2 linked regions of the Drosophila melanogaster genome follow. The protein of the gene in region 1 interacts with the protein of each later gene in a pairwise test. Each region holds a gene or a part of one and is shown on either strand. Other genes may lie near its edges.

Evidence for each region.
Region 2: the proteins of CG7409 (region 1) and CG15199 interact in a two-hybrid assay, tested with the Drosophila melanogaster proteins (one large-scale study listed by BioGRID).

Annotation. Positions count from the first base shown.
Region 1 is NT_037436.4:7,750,925-7,757,536, forward strand, and holds CG7409 (uncharacterized protein), read left to right. Parts: upstream 1-3,484; 5' UTR 3,485-3,605; coding exon 3,606-4,070; 3' UTR 4,071-4,244; downstream 4,245-6,612. Other genes in the region: CG32373 (uncharacterized protein), read left to right, coding at 6,186-6,255, 6,368-6,612.
Region 2 is NC_004354.4:11,137,538-11,145,011, reverse strand, and holds CG15199 (uncharacterized protein), read left to right. Parts: upstream 1-3,176; 5' UTR 3,177-3,206; intron 3,207-3,773; exon of another isoform or gene 3,774-3,843; 5' UTR 3,844-3,980; coding exon 3,981-4,222; exon of another isoform or gene 4,223-4,283; coding exon 4,284-4,392; 3' UTR 4,393-4,538; downstream 4,539-7,474. Other genes in the region: CG15201 (uncharacterized protein), read right to left, coding at 317-398, 530-692, 763-859; CG15202 (uncharacterized protein), read right to left, coding at 1,633-1,753, 1,818-1,950, 2,239-2,332; ssp7 (short spindle 7), read left to right, coding at 4,768-4,834, 4,903-5,011, 5,078-5,168; CDK2AP1 (CDK2-associated protein 1), read right to left, coding at 6,110-6,955.

The DNA of each region.
Region 1 (6,612 bases):
GCAGGCGAGTTTTTGTATTGTAAACGCTGACCTTTGGTGACTCATAAGGTTGGCATAAAGTGTCCTTAGGCCGTGTGTGCATCTCGCCCAAGGATGTGTCGTCATGAAATTCGTCGTGGAATTTCAAATTAACTGCAGTGAGCGCGGTGGGATGAGTCGTGTATACCCTGTAAAAGTTATATTGTGTGTATATATGTCAATCCAGCACTTTCCATTTCGGTGTTTGGCGTTGTTTGGCCATCACGTCCATTGGGTTCAATAGCACAAAACAAAAATAGAATAATAGACCGGGCCAAGCGTTATTTGTACGCCTTCTGGCTACTACGTCCGCCTTCTTCGTTCACAGTGCAATCCTTTAGAGTCCTGCCTGCACCGCTATAAATAAGTTCCTCATTCGTATGCAAACAAGTGCAGCGGCAGGACGAAAAGGGCGAGCCTTCGCCTTTCGACGGGCGTGACTTGCGGCATAATGGGCGAGTTTCGAAATGCAGTTGCAGTTCTGGATTTTGTTGAAGGTTGCCTTTTGGGTATGATAACTATCTCACAATCAATGTGAGTATATTCTCTGCAGCTTTATAATAAATTGTGCAGCCATTAAGTAGCTAAAGTTTTAGCGGTTTCTCATTGCAAGTCCTTTTAATTAAACGTATTATTTTCATATAACATTTATTGATTTCCACTTCGTTGGTTAAATGAAAAGCGATATATATTTATCTCGTTTAAATATGAAAATACATTTTCCAACTGACTGAACTTAATTGAATATTCAGTTGATTTAATGTGTAATCTGATTTTAGTAGGTTTTCTATTTATAAATATTTTCAGTTGTGCAAATGTCATTAAATCAGTTTTTTTCGGCTATTATTTGGGGTATATTTTAGGGTATATGAGGATCGGCTTTTCTGCTCCATTCCTTACACTTTCTCAGGGATAACTCTTGCCAGTTTTTTGGCTCTGTTGTGGCAACTTTTGTTGTGGCTGCTTTTTGGGGACTTTTTCTTCGGAACTTGCGACCTACAACCTACGACCTGCAGTGTTCACTTCGCTTGGCCAATTACGGTTTTAAGTCCTGCTGGCTCCTCGTCGTCCTGTCTTTTTCTCCGACTTGAACTTTTGCTTTCGTTTTGCCCATACTTTTGTGTTTTTCCCCTGCCACAGATTGCCCCGTCTTCTCCTTGGCAGGCGTCGCATTGCAGTGGCCTGTTGGCCAGGTCGAATGCACCTGCTCCTGCACCTGTTTGTTGCCCTTTTGCGGCTGAATGTTTAGTGTCTCGGGGGCCATTTATAGTTACGCTCGACTTCATCGCGCGGCGACTTCATTTGCCACGTGAGCGATGTACCTTATTGATTTCCGAGACTTAATTTGCTTGCCATTTTAAACTACAGCTATTACTCATACGCCACGTTCGCCATGACCGTCTTAAACTTTTGTAGCATACTTGTAGGCTGAATAAGTAATAAGTAATATTTAAAATATTTAAGAATTCATCTCTCTTTTGTGTATATGCAGTCATCTGTTTCCTATCCACGTCCATTGGCACCATGTTAAATGACTAAGTTCATTCCCGTGCTATTGCTGAAAACGATTTAAACATATATAACCATAATCATGAAAATCGGGGGAATGACCTCCCTGTGGGAATTAAGAATGGTGAAGGTCGCGGTGGGTGTGTTTTGCTAATGATGTTTACGATTATAGAAAGTCATCTCTTAGATAATGCCCCACACACAATCGATGCCAAAGAAAGTTGTGCACAACCCACACCCACAGGGATTCGATTCTGATTTTCATTCGATTTTGCCATAAAGTCAAGCAAATTAGTAAATTGCTTTGTTTTGGTCTAATGTATTGTTGTTCCGCCAGCTGCGGCACTTCAATTGGTTTTCAATCGGGAATTTTCTCTAGACTTGACACTCTAGACACTGATAATACAAAAAATAAGTATAAATATATAAATATTTAAATATTAAAATTTAACTATTAAATTTTGTTCGTACGGATTTTAAAGATGTTAAATACTTATTTAGCATATGTGACTATATTTATAACAAATAAGAAATTGGGTAATATAATTTATAAGAACAACGATAATAAATACTTTTTACTTACTTATTATAATATTAATAATAATATTATTTCGAACTTGACACAACGTATCTATTTGTGTGCCTTCGACTGTCTTACGATGTGCTGCATTACAAACCTATTGAACTAGTCCGATGGCAAATGACTTAATGTACAAATACATGCTTAAATGCCATCTAAATTGCGAAACTGCGAAGCTTGTTATAATTATTATAAAACACACACAAAATCTAATGCCAGAATAGCAATAACAACACCGACGGCTGGAACAACAAATTACAGCGACATATGGGGTGGGCCAATCCCAATCCGATGATTGTGTTACGTTACGGGCACGGGCTTTATAAAGAGGGGCAGGCAGGTCAGGCCCATAAATGTTCCGTAGATGTCGCATCCATCGACTAATCGTCAAAAAAATCGTCAAAATTTTTTTTACAAATTGCCCTTTTGTCATGACAAACTCAATCCCCCTTTTATGTTGCTGTATCTATAGATTGTGTATCTGTAATCCGCGTATCTCTGTTAATTTCTATCGTGTACAAAATTTAAAGCCGAATTTGGTCAAAAAGTGAAAAGAATCACATCCGTCAAAGAAATGTGTTGGTTTTTATTTGGGCTTGCTTTGATTTTGTTTTTTAATTTGCAAACGGAAGCAAAGAGTAATTAATTTCAAAATACGAATTCTGCCAACATTTTTTGGAATGTTTCCACCGTTTTTAATGCGTTGCCGATATGGGAGAATGATTTGGTAAATGAAAGAGAAAAACATAAACAAATAAGGACACGCAAACATCTGCATCATTGGAAAGCAAAATATGTATTTGTTGGATAAAAAACGAAAAATTTTCAGCATATAAAGATTTTTATTTCAAATCTACTGAATAATTAGCAGGTTAGCAGTACCTTTGGAGAACCGCTGAAAATTTATAGCCTCTACGGAAACTAGTCTGCAAATCAACCCACCCAGCATATGATCTCGAAGCGCCTCAAGGAAATAACATGCAAAGGCATTTTTTCGACCCACAGCCCCATTTCCTTATATACAAGCGTCAATGCAAAGATAAACAATCGAAAACATCGCCCAGTTTTAACGCCACTGTAACTGCAACTGGTGCACTGCGGTAAAAAAATCGATGAATTATATTTAGAGCATTTATTAAAAATTTTATAACTTAAATTTCATAATCACACAACGTTTCAGATGTAAAAACTATATTTAAGATGCAGCAGCTTGCCGTATTTTTTGAATTCCTAACTGGGATGCCGCTTTTTTTTTTGAACAGTGTGCCTACTACGTCACAACTGTCATTGGCTATTGACTAGAATCTGTGTTGAGCCGAGCTGATCCCACGGGGCGAAGCTTATGGCTATATAAGCGTCGACTACTATCGTTTCCAAGTTTAATTTGCTCAGAGCAGAAAACGCGAGTGGACGTCTATCAGAAAGCGCGATAAGTGGAAAGTAAATACAAACTAGCGTTGCTGTTGGTCCTGTCCTAAGGAATAATAACTACCACAAAATGGCTCTTGTCCCGGCTACAAACAATACGGATTGGGATTACTGGGATTACCGTCGTCGGCTGTGGCGCGATTGGGATTTGAACGACTGGGACTTGCCCTACTGGAAGCGATCACTATCTCGCGTTGGATCCGCACCCGATCTAAGTCGGGTAATTGTCGGAAAGGATGGTTTCGAGGCCAATGTGGATGTGCACCTGTTCAAGCCCTATGAGATTAGCGTGAAGACCTCAGGCGACACTGTGGTCGTGGAGGCCAAGCACGAGAAGCGACGTGATGGTGACACCTTCGTGGGTCGCCACATCGTCAAGCGGTTCGTCCTGCCCCGAGGATACTATCCCAACGATGTGCGATCGGAACTGTCGTCCGATGGCATACTTACCGTCAAGTGTCCGCCGTATTTGACCAACGAGCGGAGTGTGTACGTCCGCCAAGTGGGTCCTTCGTATCTAAGCATCAAGAACTAATCACAGTCTATAGCATCGTAACTCCGTGTTTTGTTCTTAGTTACTTTCTGTTGGAGCTAAAATTAAGACAAAAGTAATGCACATATTTCTAAGACTAGAATTGGACTCTTTTTGTTATTAACAAAGCAACGTTTGTTTAGTTAAATAAAATAAAAGTTTAATTTATTAATAATGAATTCAGACTATCTTATTTGGCAGTGGTTTCATTCCTTTTCTTTTCCCAACCGCCAGCGGATGTGTTCAACTTGACTCGAAGCTTTAAAACAATGGCCAAGAAGATGTCAACATAAATTGACTCAAGTCGTACAAAGAGAGAAAAAGCCATCGTCTGACCAAACAAACAAGTATCCGCTCGAATATAGTCAGTATCTTCCGAGCATTCTTACCCAGAGTATCTTTCATATGGGTAAACACTACGCCCTCGAGCGATTTCCGTAATTTGCCAACTAAGGTTAACTTCAAATGTAAATGGGCCAATAAACAACAACAGCTTTGAGCCAAAACCTACACGTAGAAGTTACACATGTGCTCCACCTGGAAATAGCCAGAAAATAGAGCTGGGAAAATTAATCTAGTTTAAATTGACCATAGAAAGTAACGAGAATCACGCGCACACAATATTTCTACAAAAGCATGGGATATTATATATAGTTATGTATATTTTAAAGAATTATCTTCTAAATATAAATATTCTTGATCTAGAAGACATGAATAGCAGCAGTTCCCCAAAAACATGTGTTTAAAAAAAGAAAAGAAGGCACGGTTTTTAAGCATATGCTATCATTATACAACAAAAATTGATTGACTACAGAAAAACTTGCCTCTGACATATTGCTTTTCCTTATCATAAGGCTACGGGTGAGAGATACCCTCTAATTACATTTGAACAGGAAATCAAATACATATATGAACATTCGGTCTAAAATCCAAATCTAAAGAGAACATTTTGGAACGGTACGAAATGTTTACCTACATTTAATGTATTTGTTTGGGTCTTTATCTAATGAACAGTCAAACCAAAAGATAGTCTTATCAAAGCTCTGAGTAACCGATTTTTGCCAAAAATATATGTAATAACAAGTAAAAACTGCATACCACTAACACTTGAAAAAAAACATTTAAAAATTTGTTTTATTTCTGAGCAAACACCACCACGAGAAAACATTTTTAAATGAGCGAACAAAGTCACGCCAATCTGCGACCCAATAAAATTTTCAATTAGGTGTAAGCTCTAAATGTTTTCAGTTCTTTTGAGCAAAATCGATTTGGCACTTAAAATGCAATTCATCAATGAAAAATTCGGACAAAGGAAAAATTGGGTTTCCTATCCAAGTAGTGGGGATCGGGTGGCATATATATATATGTATATATATATATATATAAAATATATATAGAGAATAACATGTTTGCTCGGCCAACCAAATAAGTCTAAGAGTAACACACCTACGCTAGATTTCTATTGTATTTAATTTCGTTTAATTAAAATCCATTTACAGTATGGCGAGCAGTTGCAGCGGCGCATTTGATTTCGATTGCGAGTTTAATTGATGTAATGTCAGCTTATATAGTTGAATAACATAATTTAACACTTAGGTTTAATAATCTTCTGAAAATGCTTATACCCTACTGATAATGGGTACCGAAATAGTATTTTTGCCTTGCCGGCCAAATACCTGATAATTCAGTTTGTCGTCAGTTTTCCTTTGGAGCGATTCGTTGTTTGCCGATACGTTAATAAATGAATATTAAAAAAAAGGGTTACGGCATTAAAAAAAAACCTATATATTTTGTAAATAATTATCTTAACAGTGTTTACATCAAACATACATTAAAAGTGTTGAACATGGTAACGGAAAAAAAGTAAAAATACATGTTCATAGATGGCAACTAAAATTAAATACAATTACTAACATCTGTTACTCACAATATTCTAAATATTGTAAATATTATTGCGTTTATTTTTTAATTAATTAAGTGTGTACTTTTAGGCAGACATTTTAATGCAAGTTGGTGACAAGCGCCTCAATGGGAGACACTTGATTAAACAAAACGTTTACTTTCGGCTGATGTTTTCTTAAGTAATCCAATCATGAACATGTTTATATAATTATTGAAATGGTGCAAAACAGAATGTCGACATCAGTGATTGTTTTGTACGCGCTTATGTGTATCGCATTTTCCACAGGTATGTTGTGAATCCATTATAACATAACCATAAGTAAGAAAAATTTCTATTATATACAATTATTTATTTATTTATTTGAATTACATTGATTTTTAATGCATTAATTTTACAGCTTCGTTAAATGATATTCCCGAAATCACCCCCGCAATAGATAACAATTTATCTTTTCAATACGACGATACCTGCTGGACTCCTCCGAGGATTAAAAATGCTAAGGCATCCGTCAAACTTCGCCGAAATGGGGAACATGTCTTTCTTGTGACCTATTATTCCTGCCGCGTCAACTACAAACTCAAACGTGCCAAAGATAATGCACTCTATTGCTCAAATGGTATATGGCTTGGTTTGAAACCCAAT
Region 2 (7,474 bases), on another chromosome or scaffold:
AAATTAATACTATTGAAAAAAGAAAAGAAAGGAAAACACTGGAAACTATGAGAAAATAACCTATAGACAGGCCGCCGAATTCGCATCCACATGTTATTAATCTAAGAACTAAAGAAATAAAAAATAAACGTCGAAGAAAAAAAAACTAAACGAACGGAGCTGGATTTGCATTTGAAAGATGATAAGGAAATGATGCTAGATTATAGTTATCGCATACCCTGTAATTGAATGGGTAGCACATATATTCCGTTAGCTAATCGTCTACTGTTTACATTTCTACATTTGAATACACTGTTCTTAATGAAACTCCTCGGATTTAGGGACACTTGAGGCAGCAGGCAGGGAAAACTCCGGTGAAGCGATCCTTGTTGCCGCAGGTGACCTTCTGCTGTCCACAGCTGAAAAAAAGATATTGTAGATGGCTTGGTTAGAATCATGTGGAGATCGGGGCAAAGTTCAGCTAGGAAATATTTTGTTTTCTTCATGCAACCTAAGTTGCTAATTAAGATCGCTGTCATGATGCACTTACTCCTCCACGATGGTCTTGAAGGTGTCCGTGCAGATGGCCCGCTTGAGGCACTTGCCATCCTTGCCGAAGTCCACGTAGTCCTGTCCGCGTCTCAGCAGCGGCAGATACTTGAGAAAGATGGTCTCATCCTCCGAGTTGCGGTAGGAGCACACGGGTTCGCTGGCTACGTACAAGATACATATGATTACATATGACATATGGAACAGTAGTAGGAGATCCCATGGCCAGCTTACCCGCATCGACGGTAGGCAGCAGTGCCTGCGGAAGCAGGAGCGCCAGCAGCAGCAGGACGGCCGCCAGCAGCCAAATGGATCCGCAACGGTTGTGCATCTTTGGAGCGCGGTGACGAGACTGAACCGAGAGCTGGCCCAGCCCGTTGCCTATTTATAGGTTGCCCAAAAGAGCCACTTGGAGCGCGGCTCGTTTGCGAATCAGCCAGTCAGTAGTCAGTGGTGATTTGCATTTTCAGCTGCTTGATTGAGTGGGATTCCGCGAGCACTTGCTAATTGCTTAATTGCCAGGGAGGCGGACTGATCAGATGCGTAGTTTCCACAGAGAGTGTGCTCTTCCAGATCGTACAAAGGTGTCCAAATGGATCATCGTCTCAAAGGGAACAAAATTAAATTAAAAATTAATCATTGCCGTTTACTAACATTCCGTTTTGAATTTTGAGCACAAATCCCAAAAATATCCGCATAAAATGCAAGAACATACAAAAGTTTAGTTTAAAGCAAGATCATTAAATTTATTATAAATTATTTCTATTTTATATTTATTATATTGACTTTACTTTTCCACAGTGTTTTTGTGCGTTTCTAGGCTGATTTTAAAGCAACAAATTTTGTGGAGAACCTACTTGAATTACAATGAACTTATCATTTGGCTGAAAATATATACAATGAATTTCATTCTTTGGGTTTTTGTTAGAATAGATACATATATATTTCCGGCAAGAATATCAAAAACATAGAACAATAAACCTATCAACATAAATACGCAATGAACTTACAAGTAATATTTAACAAACATTGTGCCAAAATAAAAATGTACAATACTAGGAAGTATGTTTTTCTATAATAATACTTAGCAGCCAGGAGTCTAAGCTAGATGTAGTTGCTCTCGGACTCCTGGCACACCAGCTTGGGACAGCATTCCGGAAAGGTGCGTCGCATATCCGAGGCGATCCTGCACTTCTCCGTGGGCACCAAATTATGGCGACCGCAACTGAAGTAAACGTAAGTAAATATGCATTAAAAATATATATTCATAATAAGTGTTTTTAACTTACTAGCTAATTTCGAGGACATAGTCTGGTCTGCAGTAGATGGACTGGCAGTAGCCCTCGCGATTGATGGGCTTGTAGGACTGTTTCTTGGGTATGGCCTGGTTGAGCTCCTCGTAGTAGCACTGGCCAGGATAGTCTGGAAACATAAAGCACATAAACGATCATTATCTGGTTGGAACTATAGTACTATATCCCTTTGATTGATATGATATTACTACAGTATCTAAGAGACATTATAGATACTATAGTATCTGGTAGTCATTATAGATACTATAGCATCTGTATATCTGGAATCTATAATATATTCCTTTGATTCATATGAATTTGTTCATATGATATCATTTTCTAGTATCTAGTTTTCACTACAGTATCTAACTACTATCTAGATAGTATAGTATGAATACAGTATCCATTTCTTAATGACCTGGATGCACTGCATTTCCGCGGTAGGTAAGATCCGCCCGAGCGGCTCCACAGATGCCCAGGAGCACCAGGAGACAGGCGACTCCGGCTCGCATAGTCGCCGAATGAGCGGAGGAGCTGGAGGAGGAGGAGGAGGTGATGGTGGTTTTTTTCTTTCGGGGGGATAAGCTAAGAGGCAACACCACGATTGCTCGAAATCCAAATCCGACTTGGCTGTTGAGCGCTGCCCGTGCGACTGAGTCAATTACAATTAATTGTTGTTGCTTTTATATAAAATTAATAATGAACCATGTGCCGTACTACCACGAGTATGTGGCACACATGTGTGTGTGTGCACAACCAGATAGCGATAGCATCTGTGGCTTTTGTTTGCCGACCGACTTAAGGCGTTCGCTTTGCGCCGCCCGCCAGCTCTAGTTTAAATTAAGAATTTAAATTAATTAAGCCAGCCCTGAAAGCGAGAGTGAGTTCTGGCGGGGATCGGCCAGCAGCGGAGGAGTGAAGTTGGCAGGCGGAATCCCCGACAGCCAAGTGACACGGTTCGAGAAACTGTGGCAAGGTTGAGCGGTAATCACGGCACGCAAATAACTCTTTTGTGCCACCGAATTTTGGGCCAGCTACACTTGGAGAAAGCGGACTGTCAATTATATTCTATAGAATAAAACAAAGTAGTTATATACTTAAAATGCCTGCTTAATCCTCAATCCTATGTCAAATCTTCAATTCAGATGTATAGAGATATGTATGTACTATGTACCCCATTCATTTATCGCAGTGTACGCTGAGCACACAACACTTGATTCCCGCGTACGTAATATGTACCTAGATACATTTATGCAAATTTAATGGCACTCACGAGTGCAAGTGCATTGTGATTTCGTCTGGACTGTATTTGCATTAGTTAATTCCGCCGTGATTCGATTGGGATTGAATGGAATGGAGTCAAGTCCACGATTCCCACCAGAACTCGTAAGTTAAGATCTTCTAAGCATAGATCTTCTATAACAAATCGCAAATTAACCATCTACTTAAGGTAGATACAGGATAGATAGTTAGTTACAGTATATATAGATAGATAGATAGATACATTGTAGATGGATAGATACAGTATAGATATATGATAGATATATGATAGATATATAGTTACAGTATAGATAGATAGATTGATAGATATAGTATTGATAGATAGATATATACAGTATGAAGTGATAGATAGATACAATACAGATAGACTAACTAATTATGATAGATACATTACTTGGTATGCAAATTGGTAAGATTGTCGTATTACTTCTTAATTACATATAAGCTATAGGTATAGTTATTAACTTTTGCTAAAAAGTTGACTACATTTTGGGTTCCTCTTCTATTAATCCTACTAGAATTTCCTGAAATGGTTTACCCAACTAATAATTAGTTACCCAGCTCCCAAATGGCTTAACCAATATTTGTTGATTGAAAAACTGAATTACTTTTGCAACTATCCCATGAGTGGAATGGCGAATACCTGATAGCATTTGCTTGGTGCATACTTTCCTGGTCTAGGCCAACATCCTCGAGTGTCAGCAAGTGCGATAACGTGGTGCGCCACTTCCTCCACTTCCAGATGACGAGAGCAAGGCAAACGCAGCCGAAATCGGAATCACGAGAGCGTTGATAGCCAGCTGATAAGATGGATGGCCCGCCGCCTATAAGAGATGAGTTCCGGTGACGACCCAATGCTATTCCACAACGAGAGCAACCATGTCCGGAGCAGCTTGGATGTCCCTAGCTTTTGTGGCCTGTCTGCTGGCCGCATCGGTGGACGGCAATGGGTTCAGCACCCAGTATCGTGGTCACACGCAGCACCCTAGCCTGGCGGAGCACTGCCTCTACGAGGAGTTGGACCTGGCCGTTCCACTCAATGGCTACGTTCTGCCCTCCGGTCAGCAGGGCTACTGCATTCGCTTGGAGTGCACCGATGACTATCTGCTGTTGATACGCCAGTAAGTTTCGAGATTTGATCGCATGCCCTCACTATATCCCATTTCGCCCAATCCCTTCCAGCTGCGACAAACAGCCATGGCCGCGACCTGGCTGCCACCTCTCACCCAACGACTATGATTTCAAGTTCCCCGAGTGCTGTCCCCAACTCGAGTGCTCCGACGAATACTAGATACAAGATACTAGATCCAAAAGCATCGATCTGTTCGGAATTACTATTTCTATTTAAACTATAATCCATTGATCTTGTGGCAAAGTTAGCCAAAGTACTAGTAACAAGTATAATCTTTAGTTAAATAAAAACATATATAGTTTAAGAAACTAATGATGTTATCACTGGAACTGCAGCTGTTTCGCCAGCCTCCGGAACGAATCTGTATGTAACGAGAATTTTCCACCTATTTGATAAACCCGAGGACCCCTGAGACGCAATCGCACGGGAGCACAGGGATCTTGACCTTTCAGTCTAATCGCTGGCGCACCCCGAAACAAGTGGAACTATATAGTCGCCCAGCCGAGCGATCCGTTGATCAGTTAGCTACATAATATGAAATCGGTCACGTTCGTACTCTGCCTGCTCGTTCTGGGCGCCCACTCGCTGCTGGTGTTCGCCGGTAAGTGGATGCAGTGCATCGTCGCCACAAACCATTCAATCCCGCATGTTCATCTTGTTCATTCGTAGTGGATTGCGAGATCGGTGGGCATCAGTTCAAGACCGGAGAGAAGTACACGCCGGAAGGTCGCTGCCTGCAGTACACCTGCCAGGCACCCAAACAGGTGACTGCCTTGGGGTGAGTAGCTTCTACATGGATTGATGACTCCTTGACTCACCCACCTTGCCACTTGTGGCCATCCAGATGCCCGGCCATCGCCTCCTTGAAGCCCTGCAAAATGGAAGAGGATCTGAGCAAACCCTATCCCGGCTGCTGTCCCAAGTTCAACTGCTGACAACGCCTCCCTCGCAAGTCGAACTGCAAATGTGAAATGAACTATGAAAACTGAATATATAACTATAGAAACATACATACCTTAAATGAGAGATGCAGTTGGATGGATGGTTATGAGGGGTTCATACATAATTAGAATCAAGTTTGCCAGTTCTGCGTTTACAAAAACCAAAATAGCGCATTTATTTCGATTTCGATTTCGGTTTCGGTTTGGTATACATGCTTGAACTTAGTCGTATTTGCTCTCATACATATAGTAAATAATGTGTATACATATATAAATATTCTCGTGTCAATTGCCACTAATTCACCATTCACTTGGACATGCACACTGTTCGCTTGCATAACAAGTATATATGTATACATATATCTCTGCTTAACTACATCTACATATCTGCATTTGTATAGTTCTCTAAAATAACGAGGAGCAGCTTTATCCGGCAGTGACAAACTCGCACAAATCCTGTCCAGATACATCCGTATCTGCATCTGCATTTGTATCTGCAAATCCTCGACGGCGGTTGCCATTAGATACTCGTAATTGATTGCATTCACTAACGCAGACACAGGAGCAACTGGGTCTTGCATTAACGGATACAAATTAATGGGTATACGGTAGAGATACACAAGTCCAATAACTTGGGCTGCAGCTATACTTGTAGCATTGTCGATTTAACCGATTGTAACCTGAGCTAGTCTAAACATTCTTTAACTATGGTCCGGCGGCCCGAGGGCCATTAAGTTGATGTGGGCTTACAAGTTAGTACAAATTGCTACACTTTAATGCTTAATTGGGACAAAATGGATCTTTGCGTTTGCTATATGTCCGTGTTTTTTTTTGTTTTTTTTGTTTGGGGGTAATTAACCTAGATGAGGCCGATCCTCGCCTCCTGGTCCATTTCACTCCGGGGTCGCCAGCTGCGGCGCCAGCGACTCCTCCTCTCATTGGCGCGCCGCACGCTCCGTTTCCATGAGGCATTCGCGCACCAGGATGCGGGCATGGACAATGCCCCGCTTGAGACGCTCCGTGGAGCTGCGCGAGCCCGTGTACGTGGGCCGGATATCGCGGCCCATCTCCTCAATGACGGCCAGCAGCTGGGCGTACTTGGTCAGCCCATTGCCCGGGCCCACTGAGGGCAGGCTGGCCGTGGAGGTCAGCGGCGTGGTGATATTGGCCGAAGTTTGGGTGGTCACCACCACGGGCGAGGTGGAGGGTGGCGGGTACTTTAGCTGCGATGAGCTCAGATTCAGGCCCATGCTCTGGCCATTGCTGCCAGAGGAGGTGGAGGAAACGCCGGCACCGGAATTCCGCTGACCACCATTGCTGGAGCACATGTTGGCCAGCGAGAGGGCCGCAGCGGCGACGGCTGCCGGCGTGGCCGTCGTGTTCGACTGCTGCTGGAGTAGCGCCAGCTGGGCCTGGAGGAACTGCGGGGAGTATTGGAGGGCAGCGACGGCGGCGGCAGCTGCTGCTGCATTGGCCGCTGCAGCGGAGCTCTGCTTGCTGGACGAGCTGCTGTAGTCGCTGGCGGAGGAGCGGTCCCGCTCCCGCTTGCCACCGCTGCTCGTGGAGTAGTCGGTGGCAGCGTTGGATGAGTTGGATCCGCCTCCTCCGCCAACGGATCCACGCGAGTGGTGGATGGCCGATATCTGGATTTGGGGCTGCTGCTCGCGCTGCTCCCGCTGCTGCTGGTAATTGTAGAAATTCTGCACTTGGCTGCGCGGTATCGGTGTCACCGTGACGTCACTCAGCTTGGACTCTACGGCCTGGATATCCATGATGTCCATGGTGGCGCTGGGCGATGTGGTGTCTGGAGTCGATATCCGTCGGTTGTTGTGGTAACTTAACTATGTCCACCTTTCCGTTTTCCTGGCACACAAAACTACTAGTTTTTAGCGTTTCTTTTTTGGTTTATTGTTTTTTGTGATATGATATCGATATCGATATCAGGAGGCGTTATTACGCTTTCCCTTCAACGCACAAACAAATACACCCCCACCAACAAAAGTCGATGGTTCGGATTATAGTATCGATAGACAAGCGCGATGCAAAGTGCCCACCTATTCGCGTCTCGAATGTGGGTGTTTCCACTGTACAAGCAATTTGTATACATGTGGAAAGCTCTTTGTCCAAATTGGTAAATGGCTAAATGTTTTTGAAAAAAAGATAATTAACAACCATAAAACTACAAGAAAATTACAAAATTTAACCCAAGTGCATATGTATACATGAATGACAAAACGGTAAAACCATGCAAATGAATAACCATCCACGTCGAATAATACCTAGTTCACCCTGATAAGGCA